Linked DNA regions of Xenopus tropicalis. The protein of the gene in region 3 binds, or shares a complex with, the protein of the main gene of each other region. Links are inferred from orthologs where the notes say so. Each region holds a gene or a part of one and is shown on either strand. Other genes may lie near its edges.

Region 1 (2,503 bases), on a different chromosome or scaffold from region 3:
GATGGTGGTGTATAATGTGTTCACTGCAGTGTTAACTGCCCCTCTACTTAGGAAACATAAGTGAAATGAAACCTGTGCTAAAGTAATGAACAAAATATGCAGATATTGTATTGTCTTGGCTGGCATTATTGATGGATTTAGGGCCATAATTGCCTTTTCAGGATAGTATGCTGCACTACAGTCAGTGGGCAGTTTAATCACAATGTGTCATAACCCTAATGGTTCGTTAATTTCAAGAATTCTGGGTTGGGTCAGTTTACCTTAAAGGAGAACTCCACCCTAACACACCGTAAGCTCTATATGAATTTTATGGAATAATATGGCTTGGAACAGTTACCTAAGCTTGGCCCCCTGTTCTGCTGCTGACTACTTTGTGACTCAAAAAAAATGTAACAGTAGTCGGCTTTCCTCGGCCTGCTTTCAGCCTGCATCCTTCAAATCACACAATTCTCTGCACACGTGATGCTAATAAGGAAAGAAACATCACAATGCAATGCATTGTGGGTTATGTAGATCCTTCATGCTATGGAGAATGATGTAAGCTGTGTAAGTTGTTACAATCTGTAACATCAGTGTTTTAGTCCCTCCTCCCCTGCCAGGATTTCAAATGATGCAGAAAGAGAAGAATCATTTTGCAGCTGGATTTCAGCATATAAAAATGGTATTTATTCATACTTTTTGAAGAAACCGATAATAGGTGTATTAGGAGTTTCTGTATTGTATGGGGCTGTTTAACAAATTTTGGTTGGGATGCCAGCCTTCCCCTTTAACAAATATGCATTCTAAGTATGGGTGTTAAAAGAAGCAAGATTAATTTATTACCAATTGGTTAGCCAGCATGGGAAGGTTATAGGGAACATCTGGAAACTCTACTCACAGTAAAAAAGTTACTAATTTCTAATTATAGATTCTTCAATTGTTCATGTGAAAAAAAATTCAGTTCACTCTGATATAAACCTGGTAATTTCAAGAATAAAAGCTCTTGTTAAAATTTCATTATTAACCTACAGTGATGCTCTGACATTTCTTCCACTTTAGAACTCAGATGAGCTGGATATCACAGCCGGAGATGTAGTTAGGGTGCTCGAGGAGGGAGACGATGGCTGGTGGACTGTGGAGAGAAATGGAAAAATAGGACTGGTGCCTGGGTCATACCTTGGGAAGCTCTGAGTAACAGTAACTGAGAACATTTCAGAATGGCAATTTGCTCTATACAATCCAACAAAGAAGTCACAAAAAGAACATTTCTGTCTCCAACTATAGTGGGTACAGTGAGTCTGTACCCCTAAATGCTGCACAAAAACGTGCCAGCTCCAATAAGTAAGGAGAATTGAGTGGAGAGAAAAGCTTCCTGGACACATTAACCTAATTGTGTAACACCAAGGGTATGCAATGAACAACTCTCACTTAAACTGCTTTTATGTTTTAGTTTTCTATAGGAAATGTTGTCCTGTTCTCATCTCTGCAAAGGTATATGGGTATCAATATATTGTATATGATTAAATAAACATCTGATTTATGTTTGTTATATAGTTAGATTTACATTTTACATAATAAAACAAAATATCAAATGAACGTACACCACTGCTTCAAGGCTATTAACCGCAGTTCACATGTTGACAAACACCAGCGCACAGGCCTTAATATTACTAGGGATCTTACACACAAGCGTTTCTTGCTATTCCGTGGTTCCACCTAACTGGAAGGCATAAGTTAACAGAGCCCAGTTACAACAAGTGTTCTCTGTGGTCCCACCGCAAATGTTAACTCTATGCACTTATACATTAAAGTCCATAGTAACTAGAAAATTATTTTAGAACCCATAATCACTTACAAATTTTGCTTTTAAAGGAACAGTTCAGTGTAAAAATGAAACTGGGTAAAATAGATTGTACAAAATAAAAAATATTTCTAAAATAGTTAGGCAAAAATGTAATCTATAAAGGCTGGAGTGAGCAGATGTCTAACATAATAGCCAGAATACTACTTCCTGCTTTCAGCTCTCTAACCTCTTAGTTAGTCAGTAACTTTAGGGGGGGCCACACAGGACATAACTGTTCAGTTTTTAAGCACACAGGTCCGATTCAAAAGCTAACTAACTGAACAGTTATGTCTCATATGCCCCACCCTCAAGTCACTGATTGGTTACAGACTGCTAACAGCTTAGAGAGCTGAAAGCAGGAAGTAGTGTTCTGGCTATTATGCTAGACATCTGCCCACTCCGGCCTTTATAGAATTCCTTTCTGCCTAACAAACTATATTGAAAACATTTTTTATTTTGCATAGTCTTCTTTACCCGGTTTCATTTTTACACTGAACTGTTCCTTTAAGGTAGCAGTAGATGTAGGGTTCCCGCAGCAGCATGTGTAACTGAAGCAGCAAACTCACTCTTAAAGAATTGGGCACAAGCAATTTGATGATGAATCCAGACTGAAATTATATGAAAAAACACTGCATTGTGTGTAAAAAAAACAATGCAATTGTGTTGGAAAAATGACCCCTA
Region 2 (3,661 bases), on a different chromosome or scaffold from region 3:
AATGCTGAGCTGTGTAAAGAAAGTTCCCATAATGCCTCACTCCTGCACCGAGACCGAGTGTACATGCTCAGTGTGTAAGACTGAGTCAGCTTCCTGCTGATTGGCTTAGATCCACATTCGTAAGGGGGGGAGTGAGTTCTTAGCAGGGAACTCAGTGAAGCGTTTCTGTGGGTGCTTATGGCTGTATTTACATAGACCTTTCTGATAAAGCTTACTTAGTTTTTACCTTTCTTTCTCCTTTAAGAAAGCTTGCAAAACCAAGAGGTTCTGGGATATTTTGGTCAGAAAATACATACGGTTTGTTATAAAGGTGCATAAAATTATTGCAGTGTTGAATCACTCCTAGAAAATTATTCAGAAGATGCACCCTGTGACTGAACCTACAAGTGTAAGTGCAAGCTGGGACCTTGTCTTGTGACCGTTTTTTGTATTTTCTCCAGCAATATTTATCTTTGTGAAAGTTTGGGGATTTTCTAGTCACCACTGGTAGCCAAACACTATTGCAGCAGGAGTTTCAAATTGGCTATAGGTTTCATGCACATAAGCTAGCACACCGCATATAACACTGAGCTCAGGCTCTATTGCCATATGCTTCTTGCACAAGAGAGATTTCAGAGGTATAGCTTGCTGCAACTACATAGGGTCTAATCCTGACATTTAGTTGCATGAACCTAACCAGAAAACTGTCTCTTATCTGACATGTATGTGACTGTTCATGCAAGAAGTTTGTAGGAGGGGTTAATTACTTAGGGCGACTCTAATAACAGTGATTTTAAATTAATTGTAAAAATGGCAGGATTATTAATAGAAACACTATTGTCTGTTTCCTGCTGCCAATATCTGATTTATGAACTGGTTAGCTGTTGGCTAATATTTAATAAAAGTAATAGGCTTGATATAATGTATTTTTTTTTTTTTAATATTCATTTGTTATTCTCTACAATAACTAAGAATAATTAAAGCTCCTATTTTGTTAAAATAAAAATGTATTTTTGCTGTAATTGCAGATGTCATGCTTGGTGAACATCAAGGAGTGAAAGTAGCTGTGAAATGTATCAAGAACGATGCCACGGCACAAGCATTTGTAGCAGAAGCTATGGTGATGACGTGAGTGGTCCTCTTTGTGTGGGGTCTAGGCAGCTTGCATGCTAATATGACTTGATCACCCACTAGTTTTAATATAAGTGCAGCTGTGAGGCATAGATATGCCCTAAATTGTTACACATAGTTGCCCTGTTATTGCATTTTTTTAGGAATCTCCTGTATTTTGGGAATTGAGGGTTTTTAAAGGGGTCCTCTACCCAAACACTGATGCACAGTGAAATAAAAAGTAATTCCAATAAACATTAAACATTTTTCATGTTATTTAAATTATTTGTAAATGTAATTAGTAAAAAAACTGTAAATGCCAAAATCGGAATCTGCCTGGCTGTTTATATTTTCTCTTCTTTTGGCTCTAACTCAATAAAACAATGAAGCAGAAGACAGCTTTTGGAGACCTGAAATCTTTTAGTTGCAATTACATTTACAAATAACATAGAACCATTGGAACATTTTAAAAGGACATGTAAACCCCACACAAAAAAATGTAATCAGTGAACAGCCTCTTTGACATCTTTCAATCCCTGCCACACTGGTTGTCCAGAGGTTAATAGTAAGGCTGCAGCATCCCCTTAATCACTTAGATTTCCTTCTCCTCCTGTAACCCACTCAGCCCTCTCCCTCAGGAAGAAAAATGGCCACCAGGTGAAAGCCGCTATTTGCTTTAAGAAAATGTGATGGTGCTGGCAAGCGGAGGGGATATATGCAGTACAAATGATGCCATTTGGGTGGGGGAGATGTGTCCAACTGATATACATTGTAGGGAAATGTAGGCTTTACCTGTCCTTTAATGTATTCGTAGTGGAGCGCTGCTTTGAATGACATTGTCTTTCATTATGCAAAAAAACAGGTTTTAAGTGGAGATCCCCTTTAATTCTATAAGTGTTTAACGCCAAGATAACACTCCACTTCTGAACCACTTTTTCATGCTTTCATCCATAGTTATCACTGTTATGTAAAGTGCTCAGACCACATAACTCCACAATGTAAGAATTCTCAGTTTGATGGGGTGTAACTTTTTAATCAACTGTTTGTCTTCAGGCAATTGCAACATAACAATCTTGTGCAGCTACTTGGAGTGATTGTTGAAGATAAAAGTGGTTTGTTTATCGTCACAGAATTTATGGCAAAGGTAACTTCTTTCTTCTCTCTACCTTATTCCATCACTTTCTCTACTTAGAAAAGGCCAGAAAAAAGTAATCTGACATTTCTTTGGTCTTTTCAAACATCAGAAGAGTTTCCTCTTCCAAATTTTTAAGAATGCAAAAAGCTGCAAATGAAAATTATCCATATTGTTGAAAACATTAGAAGGCTGCTAAATGCAGTGCCACTTGCTGCTAAACTACATGTCTGTTTGAATTAGCACATAGTAACAACTTTCATTTTTGGAAGCCAAAATCAGCCATTTTTGGTAATTCTGAAAAGAACACACCTAATTAAATAACAATTTATAGATAAAGCAATAAACCGGGAAAAAGCTTTGCTTTGCATGAATTACTGTTGGCAGATATACTGTGACAGATGTTGTTCTTCATCTTTAGGGAAGCCTAGTGGATTATTTGAGGTCTCGGGGAAGGTCAGTGCTAGGTGGCGAATGTCTACTAAAGTTCTCACTGTAAGTATCCATTAAAACCTTACACAGGTTTGACCTATATAGTCTAATCTGTTCTTGTATTTTCAATTTTGAGACTGGTTGGTTCCTGAATTAACACCCAATGTAGGACCCTGGCTAGGGGTTTTTAACTGTTATTTACCATGTTATTGTTCTTGCAAATTTCTTTTAAAGCTGCTCCATGCCATTAGCAATACATTCAGATTTAGTGTAGCCAGCACTGTCAGTGAGTAGAGATGTGCTTGTGTTATCACAAACTCTCTCCTCCTGCTGTCTGTGAATACATTCTGAATATTAGCCTCAATTTCCCTGCAGACCATAGAGAGTAAGTAGCTCCATAGTTTGCAATCAAGTTTTCCAATGTACTGATAGCCTCATATTTTGGTGTGGCTTTGTAATGGGTTTGTATTTGTAAAGGTGGGCATACACTGTAAGATCCACTAATTTCGCGAGGTCGGCAAGAGAGCGGATCTTCTCCTGATATGCCCACGCTATGAGCAGGCGAAATCAGTAAAATTCAATGATTGGATCGAAACGGCAGGCATAGGCAACATTGGATTGGGGACTGCATCAGCAAGCTGATGTAGTCTCCGATCCGATGGAAAAATCAAACCTGCCCAATCGAGATATGGCCAGGGAGGCCCATCGGTGGTGCTCATAAACAGGCAGATAAGCAGCCAAATCGGTCTAAAGGACCTATTTCGGCCGTGTATGGCCACCATAAATCCTAAATGTACAAATTATATTTTATGTCCATAGTTCCATATTTGTGCCTGGGTTAGACAATTAGGGCACTGTATTTGTTTGAAGCTGCAAAATTAAAGCTTGTTAGACATACTTAACCAGCCCTTGTAGAACCGCAAAATCATCTAGTAGACTGCAGCCCACTTTGCACACAAGTGCTTAATATGAAATGCCACCAGTTCTTCAAATGTAGCATGCTTTCCC
Region 3 (3,661 bases):
ACAGCCTAAAGCAGCTAACAACTTTTACTAAGCTTTTTATCCTTTTCACTGAACAATATATCTTGTTTGATCAGCAGTTTCTACCTGTCCTGATAAAGAGATCCCTCCTCCACTGCCAGAGCGAACCCCTGAATCCTATATAGTAGATACCGAAACAGGTAGGTATAAAAGAAAGCAAAAAAGCACCTCATCAACCCCTGAGATAAACTGATTGTATCAGAGGTTCTACAGAGTGGGTTATCCAATATATGAACCACTTTTTGGCTAACCTTGTTGCTTCCATACTTTGTAACTTTGGCAAATGGAGCACCTCATGGTAAATGAAGACACTTTGTTGGTTATTTTGTTTGCAATTGATTGCTTAGGAGACAGGGTTAAAGGCTCTAAAGGGTCTGTACGTCTTTTTATGCTTTTCTAGACTTGGGATGGTGGGAGTTGGAGGAAGTTTGTTCCTTTTGGGACACATGGGGAGGTGAGAGTGAAGTGAGAAATATTATCATGCTGTGGAAAGGCACAATTAAAAGGCAGTAAAATTCTCTGCACAGATTTATCAGTAATCTACGTGTATATAACATATAATTTTGAAATGTGACATGGGGCTAGCCATTTTCAGTTCCCCAAGTGCCCCCAGCCATGTGGCTTGTGCACCCTGCACCTGTGTGTGCAATCGACAAACTGGGGAATTTTTTTACAGGCCACACAGCAGGATAACATTGGGGAAGCCTTGTTATCTCGATGACATGTATACAGACAAACAGTTCCTTTACATTTCATAATTTACAGAGAGTCTATGCTGTCAACAACCAGATCAAAGTACTGCTATTCCACCCTCAGCTAGCCTCTTGATTCCACCAAAGAACATTTCAATAATTGTGGAGCAATCTGACACAGTTCTGATGGAGACTTCAGGTAATGTACCAAAATGGGAGTTTTTATACTATAGAACCAAAAGAATATAGAATAATTTTAACTCTGATAGACTGAAAGGTGGTTGTTTGGTATGGGTTCTTTACCTGAAGCAAACTCTGCACCAGTTATTACATTTTCAACCCTGAGGGTAGGAAAATATAGGCTAATGAAGACATTGTAGCCTGGTGTCCTAGGTAAGTTAGTGTTAATGATTTTTCTTGGAAGGCAGTGGTTACATTCACCCCCAGCACATTATATGCAGTTTTACAAACAAGCACCTTATATATAGACAAAGGCATTCGGTACTTACATAGCAGGCACATAAACTGTAGGGCAGTGGGTAGTGACAAACAACCCCCACTCTGCCACTGAAACATAAATTTTTATTGTGTGTGTGTGTATATATAAATATATACTGTGTGCATATTATATATATATATAATGAAGAATGGCGCCCCAGCACACTAGTGATCTTCAATCACAAACTAAAAGAAAAGAAGCAGCACATTGGTTTTATAATGAGAAAAAGGATGTATTAAAAAATCACATTAAATGTGCCACATTTAAGGCACAACATATGCCTTTTATCAAGCCATATACACACAACCTTATCAACCAGTTGTATTTAAAGTGGTGTACAGGATTTTAATCGGTTAAGGCCCTTTTCTATAAAATGTTTACATACAGGTAACGTCATATTGCCCAGACCAGATCAAAGTACTGCTATTCCACCTTCAGCTAGCCTCTTGATTCCGCCAAAGAACATTTCGTTAATTGTGGAGCAATCTGACATAGTTCTGATGGAGACTTCAGGTAATGTACCAAAATGGGAGTTTTTAAACTATAGAACCAAAAGAATATGATATAGACCTATGCTGAGAGATACGTGATTTCACCATCTGTGTGGTTTTACCTAAATAGATGAGACCACACAGACAGGTCAATGCATAAATGGCAAATTTAGAAACACAGGCATAATATATACATATATTTCAAATTATTCTAACACCCCCAGTGATTGAAACACTTCCAATATAGGGAAAAATGCCCAGGTACATCTAAAAGAAATGAATATCCATATCAAAAAATGGAGCACTCATGGGACTTATGAAGGCGTGATTAAGGGGTATATTTATCATGCTTTGTAAAAAGTGGAGTAAAACATTACCAATGATGTTGCTCATAGCAGCCAATCAGATGCCTTGCTTTGGTTTTCTAGCTGTTGAAATCTAATTGCTGATTGGTTGCCCTGGGCAACATCATCGATAATGCTTTACTCCACTTTTTACACAGCATGATAAATATACCCCTAAATGTATTTAATTATTGTCAGCTTTTCAGACCTGCTAATAGGACCTTTTTCAAGACATCCGGATGGTCCTCTTAGCGAGACTGAAAATTGACCACAATTAAGTGTTTTCAGATATATATATCTAACCTCCCCACCCTCTCCCCATGGACTTCTTTGTATCACATGTTTCTGCATTTTTTTCCATTATAACCTGCCCATTTCCTCTAACTCTAAATCTTCTTCTGTTCCCCCTGACTGTGTGCACTGTTGTGCTTTTAGTTTTCCTTGTACCACCTCAATTTCATACATAGACAGATTTCATAGATAGATAAGACAGATAGATAGCCGATAGATAGATAGATAGATAGATAGATAGATAGATAGAGAGATAGATAGATAGATAGCCGATAGATAGATAGATAGATAGATAGATAGATAGATAGATAGATAGAGAGATAGATAGATAGATAGTTAGATAGTTAGATAGATAGGCAGATCAGGTTTTTAGTAACTTTAGTAACTAGTTCACATTAGTAACTTCTATAGGACTGCTGAAATGTTTATGATCTTATAATTTGTGTTGTCTGTATTAACTATATCATACTTGTATTCATTCAGCAGAAACATGTGAGCTTCATCCTACACTTGTTCCTGCTGCCAGGAGTACAAAAATAGGGACTTCACAAGAATGGAGTGGCAGGGCCCAATATAAAGATGATGGACTTAAATTTATGACACGCAGCAAGGTAACCAAAAGTTACATTTTACATCAAATAGCCTTACTAATCAATTTCAATGGCCATGGAAGAAATCCACAAATTAAATTTTTTAACAACTTCCTACGTTACAAGTTTCAAATTGCAATGCAGATTAAGGCAAAAACTCCACCTGACTCCAACATGCCTCCAAAGGGAAAATGTTTATAATTTCACTCCAAAAATAATCAGATGAATTCACAAATAAGACGCTGCTTGTGACATAGTTGGAGGAGACTGGGAAGTCAATCTGTATATGTGAAAAAATAAAAATTGTAAGCTGTTAACAGCTGTTAAAACTGTAACACAAGAGCCATCAATACCCTGTAAATTATAAACCCTTAGTGATGTCATCAGTTATAATCGGTGCTCAGTGATGTCTTTTCTGTCACATGACTCACATACACTTTAGGTGTTTTATTAGTGAGTGATTCATTAGGTCCAGGTCAGTTGTGTGTTTAGGTAAGACATGCAAAGTGAACCCTTAGGGGCACATTCATCAAATCCCTAGTTCGAATCCTGAAATGGGTAAAATTCGGATTGGATACTATAATTTCTTATGATAGCAAATATCACAAAAATGCTTACAAAAAAATCAGAATAGTCACGATAATATCGTATTGGCGCTCTGAAAGTCACAACATTTTTGTACCAAACGATTGTAAACAGCGGGAAAACCTTTCCGAGTGTGATCCTTCTGTGCATG

The links.
Region 1: the proteins of ptpn22 (region 3) and pstpip1 are in contact, whole or in part, in a crystal structure (PDB 7AAM), measured with the Homo sapiens proteins. The link is inferred for Xenopus tropicalis from reciprocal best matches to the Homo sapiens genes PTPN22 and PSTPIP1. Residues at the interface, in NP_057051.4 of Homo sapiens: Ser793, Lys794, Pro795, Gly797, Pro798, Arg799, Asn800, Pro801, Pro802, Trp805, Asn806; in NP_003969.2 of Homo sapiens: Thr225, Arg228, Asn229, Trp232, Asn236, Ser239, Met240, Cys242, Val243, Asp246.
Region 2: the proteins of ptpn22 (region 3) and csk are in contact, whole or in part, in an NMR structure (PDB 1JEG), measured with the Mus musculus proteins. The link is inferred for Xenopus tropicalis from reciprocal best matches to the Homo sapiens genes PTPN22 and CSK. Residues at the interface, in NP_033005.1 of Mus musculus: Pro614, Pro615, Leu616, Pro617, Glu618, Arg619, Thr620, Glu622, Ser623, Phe624, Ile625, Val626, Val627; in NP_001291690.1 of Mus musculus: Phe20, Thr23, Gln26, Ala40, Val41, Thr42, Lys43, Asp44, Asn46, Trp47, Ile59, Pro61, Asn63, Tyr64.

Annotation. Positions count from the first base shown.
Region 1 is NC_030679.2:90,488,551-90,491,053, forward strand, and holds the end of pstpip1 (proline-serine-threonine phosphatase-interacting protein 1), read left to right. Parts: intron 1-1,038; coding exon 1,039-1,170; 3' UTR 1,171-1,907; downstream 1,908-2,503. UniProt on the Homo sapiens protein: Involved in regulation of the actin cytoskeleton. May regulate WAS actin-bundling activity. Bridges the interaction between ABL1 and PTPN18 leading to ABL1 dephosphorylation.
Region 2 is NC_030679.2:94,046,276-94,049,936, reverse strand, and holds part of csk (tyrosine-protein kinase CSK), read left to right. Parts: intron 1-1,007; coding exon 1,008-1,107; intron 1,108-2,142; coding exon 2,143-2,233; intron 2,234-2,642; coding exon 2,643-2,716; intron 2,717-3,661. UniProt on the Homo sapiens protein: Non-receptor tyrosine-protein kinase that plays an important role in the regulation of cell growth, differentiation, migration and immune response.
Region 3 is NC_030678.2:62,517,205-62,520,865, reverse strand, and holds part of ptpn22 (tyrosine-protein phosphatase non-receptor type 22), read left to right. Parts: intron 1-74; coding exon 75-158; intron 159-783; coding exon 784-909; intron 910-1,596; coding exon 1,597-1,722; intron 1,723-2,818; coding exon 2,819-2,946; intron 2,947-3,661. UniProt on the Homo sapiens protein: Acts as a negative regulator of T-cell receptor (TCR) signaling by direct dephosphorylation of the Src family kinases LCK and FYN, ITAMs of the TCRz/CD3 complex, as well as ZAP70, VAV, VCP and other key signaling molecules.